Danio rerio: one gene and its partner. Each later gene encodes a partner of the first gene's protein in a complex. Links are inferred from orthologs where the notes say so. Each region holds a gene or a part of one and is shown on either strand. Other genes may lie near its edges.

Evidence for each region. Proteins that work in one complex are often made in the same cells at the same time.
Region 2: gtf2a1 (region 1) and polr2j share a complex: the UniProt entries of both Homo sapiens proteins name them as parts of the TBP-based Pol II pre-initiation complex. The link is inferred for Danio rerio from reciprocal best matches to the Homo sapiens genes GTF2A1 and POLR2J.

What each region holds. Positions count from the first base shown.
Region 1 is NC_133195.1:17,666,123-17,669,781, reverse strand, and holds part of gtf2a1 (transcription initiation factor IIA subunit 1), read left to right. Parts: intron 1-161; coding exon 162-295; intron 296-2,818; coding exon 2,819-2,920; intron 2,921-3,270; coding exon 3,271-3,519; intron 3,520-3,659. UniProt on the Homo sapiens protein: TFIIA is a component of the transcription machinery of RNA polymerase II and plays an important role in transcriptional activation. TFIIA in a complex with TBP mediates transcriptional activity.
Region 2 is NC_133180.1:67,354,034-67,357,792, forward strand, and holds the start of polr2j (DNA-directed RNA polymerase II subunit RPB11-a), read left to right. Parts: upstream 1-1,182; 5' UTR 1,183-1,218; coding exon 1,219-1,271; intron 1,272-3,105; coding exon 3,106-3,195; intron 3,196-3,455; coding exon 3,456-3,630; exon of another isoform or gene 3,631-3,759. UniProt on the Homo sapiens protein: Core component of RNA polymerase II (Pol II), a DNA-dependent RNA polymerase which synthesizes mRNA precursors and many functional non-coding RNAs using the four ribonucleoside triphosphates as substrates.

The DNA.
Region 1 (3,659 bases):
ACTTCCATAGTATTTTTGTTTTCCATACTATAGAAGTCAATGAATAGAGGTCTTCAACATTCTGTCCAACATGCCTTCCTTTTCCTTCCATCTTTAACTGCATGTTAACACTATAAATACAGATTTGTCCTAACAAAAGCATGTGTCTGGTGGCTTTACAGGTCAGATCCTGCAGGTGGTCAGAGCTGCCAATGGAGCTCAGTACATCATTCAGCCTCAGCAGCAGATGCTTTTACAGCAGCAGGTTCTGCCGCAGATGCAGCCTGGGGGTGTTCAGGCCCCCGTCATACAGCAGGTCTGTGCTTTATTCTGCACAAACACTACACTCACTTTCTCATCAATCTTTGACTTGCTCAACACAGGCTCCTTGGAAATGAAAGTTTTATCCTTCATTTTTGAGAAACCACAAAAATGTCCTCAAACATCCGTTTGATCAAAAATTCTTGGTGACAAGATCACTACAGGGCAGTAAGACTGCAAAAACTTTACTTCCTTTTCACCCTAATGGTATTTATGGACCGATTGTCAGTGAATAAAGGATTACTTGTATGCATTTTTTGCACACACCAAATAAATACCACAAAGCCACTTAATGTCTATGATTTTAATAATCAAAAATGTTTGCCTCGCCTGTTTAACTATATGTATAAAACTTTTCTGGTGTGGTCAGTTTGCTTGGAAACTCACTTTGTACAGTAGTGTATGCAAGGAGTTCTGTAAAGCACTGTTTCACAAAAAAGATTAGAGCGATGTAAAATCAAGGCAAACGGCACTTATTCTTACATTTACTTTTGACAAATAAAGGATTAAAGCAATGTAAAATCAAGGTAAACATCTCTTATTGCTCTGCTTTTGACAAATAAAAGATTAAAACAATGTAAAATTAAGGTAAGCATCACTTATTGTTATTACACTTTTGACAAAAAAATATTAAAGCAATGCAAAATCAAGGTAACCAGCACTTATTTTTATTACACTTTTGTAAAAGAATAAAGCAATGTAAAATCAAGGTAAACATCACTTATTGCTCTACTTTTGACAAATAAAAGATTAAAGTAATATAAAATCAAGATAAATAGCACTTATTTTTTCACCTTTGACAAAGATTAAAGCAATGTAAAATCAAGGTAAACAGCACTTATTGTTATTACACATGACAAATAAAGATTAAAGCAATGCAAAATCAAGGTAAACAGCACTTATTTTTATTACACTTTTGACAGAATAAAGCAATGTAAAATCAAGGTAAAACAGCACTTGTTGTTCTTACATTTACTTTTGAAACTATTATCTAGGATTAGGGAGGAGTTTAGGTTAGTGTTATTTAAGAAAGATGTTTAACTGAAATGTACAACAAAACGGGCCCTAATTAATGTCTATCTGATTCCCCAAAGTGTAGACAGCGCCCTCTAGTGTATTTGTCATCTGAAACGTGCAATGAAATGTATGCAGAGCAACAACGTTTGTTTGGCAGGAATGTAGGCTAAGGCACATATTTCTAATGAGCCTGTGCTGTACTCACTTCTAGTTCAGTCACTGGAGGCTGCAGGGTTTACTGTGACAGCATGTGACCAGTGGGGTTTTGTTTCCCCGTGTCAGCAGTGGTCTTTAGCTAGCCAATGTTATATGCCTGTCAGCTCTCTTAGTCGGTTTGAAAAAGGAAATAACAGAAATAATAGTGAATGCTTCGCAGGAGGAGAACCGATGTAGAGAAGAGACAACTAGTCTTACTTTGTTTAATAAAGATCTGATACACTATTCACTATTGATACAACATTCTAATAAATTTTTTATAAATTCTAACAATAAACTGTTAGTTAATAAAAAGCAATGTTTTCTAGTCATTTTTAAATATTAATAAATAAATTAGGAATTTACTCATGACAACTATATTTACCTTCGACCCACTAGCCCAGAGGTGTCAAACTCAATTCCTGGAAGGCCGAAGCCCTGCACAGTTTAGTTCCAACCCTGTTACAACACGCTTACCTGTAGGTTTCAAACAAGCCTGAAGGACTCAATTAGTTTGATCAGGTGTGTTTAATTAGGGTTGGAACTAAACTGTGCAGAGCTGCGGCCCTTTTGGAACTGAGTTTGACACCTGTGCACTAGCCTCACTCAAATTAGCCTTTTTTGCCCTACATTAGAAAAAGGTTTGGGCACCCTTGCTTTAGACGATGACAATTAGTCAATAACAAATGCTTTTATTTGTTATGCTTGAAACTTGGGGGTTTTTCCACCAAATATGATAGCAAAATATGTTGTTTAAAAATGATTAATGTATATAACTTCTGAAAACACTGCATGTTTTATTTATTAGGGTGGGGTATGCAGTAAAGAACATTATTTTAAATCTGTACGAAATGCCATCAGTAGTTTAAAGAATTAAAAAAGAAATACTCCATATTTAAACAAAACTTAAAGCTATATTTTTACCAAAATGTAAATGATCAATTTATTCACCCTCTGCTTGTTCATGAGCTTCTTTCTTCTGTTAAAACACAAAAGAAGATATTTTGAAGAATGCTGAAAACCTGTAACCATCGACTTCAATAGAATGTTTTTCCTACTATGGAAGTCAGTTTTTCATCATTCTTCAAAATATCAGCCGAAACTCAAAGGTTTGGAACCACTTGTGTATTAGTAAATATTGAGCAAAGTTACATTTTTGAGTGAACTGTCCGTTTAAAGGCATAAATCAGAGAAACAAAGTATTTCAAGTGGTCTTTTAGTTTAAATGATTAGACTTGTTCTCCTACACCTCGGTTTATGAGAACAGGAGTGTATTAAGTGTCTCTCTCTCTGTGTATTGATGCAGGTGTTGACTCCTCTTCAAGGAGGTCTTCCTCAGCAAACCGGAGTCATCATCCAGCCGCAGCAGATCGTCCTCACGGGGAATAAAGTACCGCAGAACACTCAGGTCAGCACAAGCTCTCACCTTAAACTAAAATCTCTGTGATGTCTGTGAAATTGATGTCTCACAAATACATTTCATTGAACATGTACACAGGCATCACCTATATCCTATATAACTGCGGTTTAGATATATAATAATTAACAGGTTTATAATATAATAAGTTTCACTGTTAAAAGCTTTTAGTTACTAATCAATTAGTGATTAGTAACTTATAAGGTAACTAATAACCTTTATTTTTCTGACTGTAATGCAGTAATGTACACCTTTTGCGAAGCTGCTTTGAAAAAATATTATTGTGAATGTCGCTATACAAATCAACTTCAATTTGAATTGAATCGTGTGTGCTTGTTTAGGTCATGCAGGCGGCAGCGATGGCAGTGCAGTCGGGACCGGGAGATGCACAGGTGCAAACTCAACCACAAGCGCAGCAGCAACAACAACAACAGCAGCAGCAGGCCTCGCAACAACCTCCTATGATGCTCCAGGTAGACGGCGCAGGAGACACGTCCTCAGAGGAGGATGAAGAGGAGGAGGACGAGTATGATGAAGATGAGGATGAAGACAAGGAGAAAGACGGCGGAGAGGACGGCCAAGTGGAGGAGGTGTGAATAGCCGCATTTCCACTATCGGGCCAGTGCGAGCCAGGGCTTTAATCGGGCCGGGGCGGGCCAATAGCCCGCGAGGTTGAGAAATGAGGCCGAAATCATGTCGCGTTTCCACTGACGGGCTAATAGCTCACAGC
Region 2 (3,759 bases), on another chromosome or scaffold:
TGTTACCTAAATTACTTCATAGAGGTAATTTGTTCAGTGCAAAATTTCTGATATTTGTTAAGTTGAGGGAGTTTGATAAGTTTCTTTGAGCTATTAGCATGTACAGCGTGTGGCTCAATTTCATTTACATGCAAATATTATGCTAGAAATTCAGTCCTGTTACTTTCAGTCCTGTTACTTATAAGAGTTACAGGAATGAGTAACAATAATGAAAAGCATCTTCTGATACTTAATAGAATGAACAGTTTTTATTATATTATTCATCTGATTTCCACACGTTATGGATGGAAATGTTGAAGTTGTAAGATATTTAAAGGAATAGTTTTCTCAGAAATGACAGTTCCACTACATGACACACACACACACACACACACACACACACACACTCTCTCTCTCTCTTTTCACTTACTGATTTGGTTTTCTTGTGAAAACTTTTTTTCCCTACAATTTACTCAGTTAAGTTCTGTACATCATATACTTAAATGTTAAGTAAATTATGTTATAAAAAACATGAATTTCAGGCCACAGTTTTCTTGAAAAAAGGGAAAGTGCCTTTGCATTCCTATAAAAATACATTTTTTTATGTAAATCGTGATTTTTTAAATACAAAAATCAAATGTTTGAAAGTGTAACAAACCATATTTTAAAAAGAAAATCACTTTCTTAAGAGGAAAACAAAGTAATTACCTGATAGACTTTTATTCATGCTTTTTAAAAGACTCGTTAGTTTGGGTAATATGACTGAAAAATGCATTCATCTGCCACATAATACCTTGTAAAAACTCAAATTAAGTCATTTTATGTGGACCAATACATATTTTGAAAAGTTAAGTATGTGTGTTATTAGATTCCGCCTTGAAAAGTAATTAAAAGAAGTTTAATTGTAAAGAGTTACAATAAGCAAAATGCATCCATTCGGTGGAATGGTCAATAATTACTCCCATGCTAATCACCATACTCAACTTTTACAAGCGATGGTCAAAATTAGATATATAATCCAACCATTTTGACCCAAAGTGTATTAAAAGACTCATAATAAAGGTACCTCTTAACTCTGTCGTTGTGTTGAAAATACTACGACCAGACTACGACACAATACTGCCCCCGGTCGTTATTCACTCAATATTACCCTTTTTCCCATGTCTTCCCATGTCATGCGCATGCGCAGTACAACGTGCGTCCATTAGTAGCATCGTTCGCTGCTGGTTTTGAAGCAGGATGAACGCGCCACCAGCATTCGAGTCTTTTTTGCTGTTTGAGGGAGAAAAGAAGTAAGTGCACTATAAAGCTGTCTTTGCTATTCAATTATACTAACATATTATACTAGCCTATAATAAGAGTAAATATTCAGTTGGAAGACAGGAGGGAGATTCAAAAGGCTTTAGCTTGTTGGCTAACGACAGGTTACGTTAGTCAGTCCATCTGAAAACAAAATACAACCTACTTCTGTTTACAGAGTGCTTTATACAATACAGCTTAAATCATATCGACGATTGATTCATTCACTATTTAAGTTTATTGTTCATTATTTTTGTATAAACGAATACAATTTCAGATGCTAAGCTGTTTGAATAAGACATGTAATACCAACATTTAGCTCAATTAAGTTTAAGTTGGTTAAGTGACCTTGTGAATCTAAATAAAAGTATTCGTTTTTAGACGTACTTTAGGTCATGATACCATGACATTTTTTGAATACCATGTAAATACCATAGTACATGTACAGTAATTGGTCTCAGCATCAAATTAAATAACAGAGGTAATACGTAACGTTAACATATAAAATTTATGCAAATAAGGTGTGCTTTAATGTTTTAAATAACTTTTAACTATAAAAATAAGATTGTCAAAAATATTAGTAAAATAACCTTCCATATAAATATGAATATATTTTTTAAAAAGTAAACCTTTATTGTAATCTACATTGATTAAAATATGCAGTAGTAAGTGCTTAAACTAAATTGTTTTGCCTTGTAAATGCCTCTTTCTGACAGATATGCTTGACAAATTTAAGTAAAATTGGTTTTGTATTCGCACATTTGGACTTTCTCCTTAATATAATTTCAGAAAAGTTTTATTTGCAAATTCTGAATAGAGAAATCATTAGCAGCCAATGACTATCAAAGTACAACATTGTTCAGTCAGGTAAATAGTACTTATGTTTTTGAGAAGTCATATTTGCAGGCTATTTTAGACTGAATATTCAAAGCAGTGTGATAAACAATATATGCACAGTGTTACAAGGTTTCACTGTTCAAAAATTACCAAATGTCTGAATATAAAACCAACTTTACCTCAATGCTTGACAATACTTTTTGGCATAAAAAAATATTTTTGCACTGAATGACATTTAAGTGAGCATCTTCTCTTAATAAGGGTTAAAATTATAGTAGGATAAAAAGATGATAAATATGATGATAAAGCTTATTATATTTTGTATATTTACCTAGAAAAACATTTTTCATCTCTGATCTACTTAACAAAGTGACATATTACTGCCAACATTGTACCATGATACCACAGGGTCTGCGGGGTCTTAAGAACTATTAAAAGTTGATTAATCAATGTAGAGAAATGTAAGGCCCTTAAAAAGTATTTTAAAATCCTAAATGCTATTTTGCAAGGTGTTAAATTTTATATAATTTTGATTGTGCAATGTAGGTATGGTTGTATGCTAAAGTTTGCCTGAATTAAATCTAAATGTCAGGATGCTGTGTAGTTTATGAAATCAATGAAATCCTGCTAGATTTGACATCATGCAGTTTTGTTTACTGCAGTTATCAAGGAAAAACCATTATTTCTGCAGTTCTATAGGCACCAACCTGCTGAATTAGCTATATTTAATAGATTTTAATTCAATATAATTATGTATATCAATATGTAAGTTTTTTACATTAATATTTAATAAATATACTGTAAGTTAAAATCTCTTTATTGTTTCCGATTGAAATCTTAAGTGATAATAAGGTCTTAAGGTCTTGTATGGAGAGAGTCTTAAAGGTATTGAAATTCACTCTCTGGTTCCTGTATATACTCTGTACCAAAACATTACTATTTTTAAAAGTAAGGGATTGCCTAAAATTTCTGTTCAACTTCTTTTTACAGGATCACAATAACCAAAGACACCAAGGTGCCGAATGCATGTCTGTTTACTCTAAATAAAGAGGATCACACACTGGGAAACATCATCCGATCGTAAGAGACCAAACTTTTGATACACTAAAACATTTTCAGATATTTATGTGGGTTTTGTAATCATCCTATATTTACATTAGAGCAATTCCATGCAAATGTCAACCTTGTCATGAAAAAGATTAGGTTTTAACTCTGTGGTTAGTTGTTTTGGAAAATATAAACAGATGTTTCAGTATAATGTTAACACATACTTTCTCTGTGAATGTGTTTTGAGATCTTACTGCAAATGTCACATTTGTAACATTGGAATTGCTCATTAGGCAGTTGCTGAAGGACCCCCAGGTGCTGTTTGCTGGATATAAGGTTCCTCATCCTCTGGAGCATAAGGTTGTGATCCGCGTTCAGACGACACCAGACTACAGTCCTCAGGAAGCCTTCACTAATGCCATCACGGATCTGATCAGTGAGCTGTCCCTGCTGGAGGAGCGATTTAGGGTATGTTCATGTGTTTGCATTGAGTAAAAAATGATTCCAGAACAAGCGCTCCTGAAAAAAATGCACTCTATAGCAGCACTGCAAAAGACAATTGAGGTAAAGTTGGTTTTGTATTCACACATTCAGACG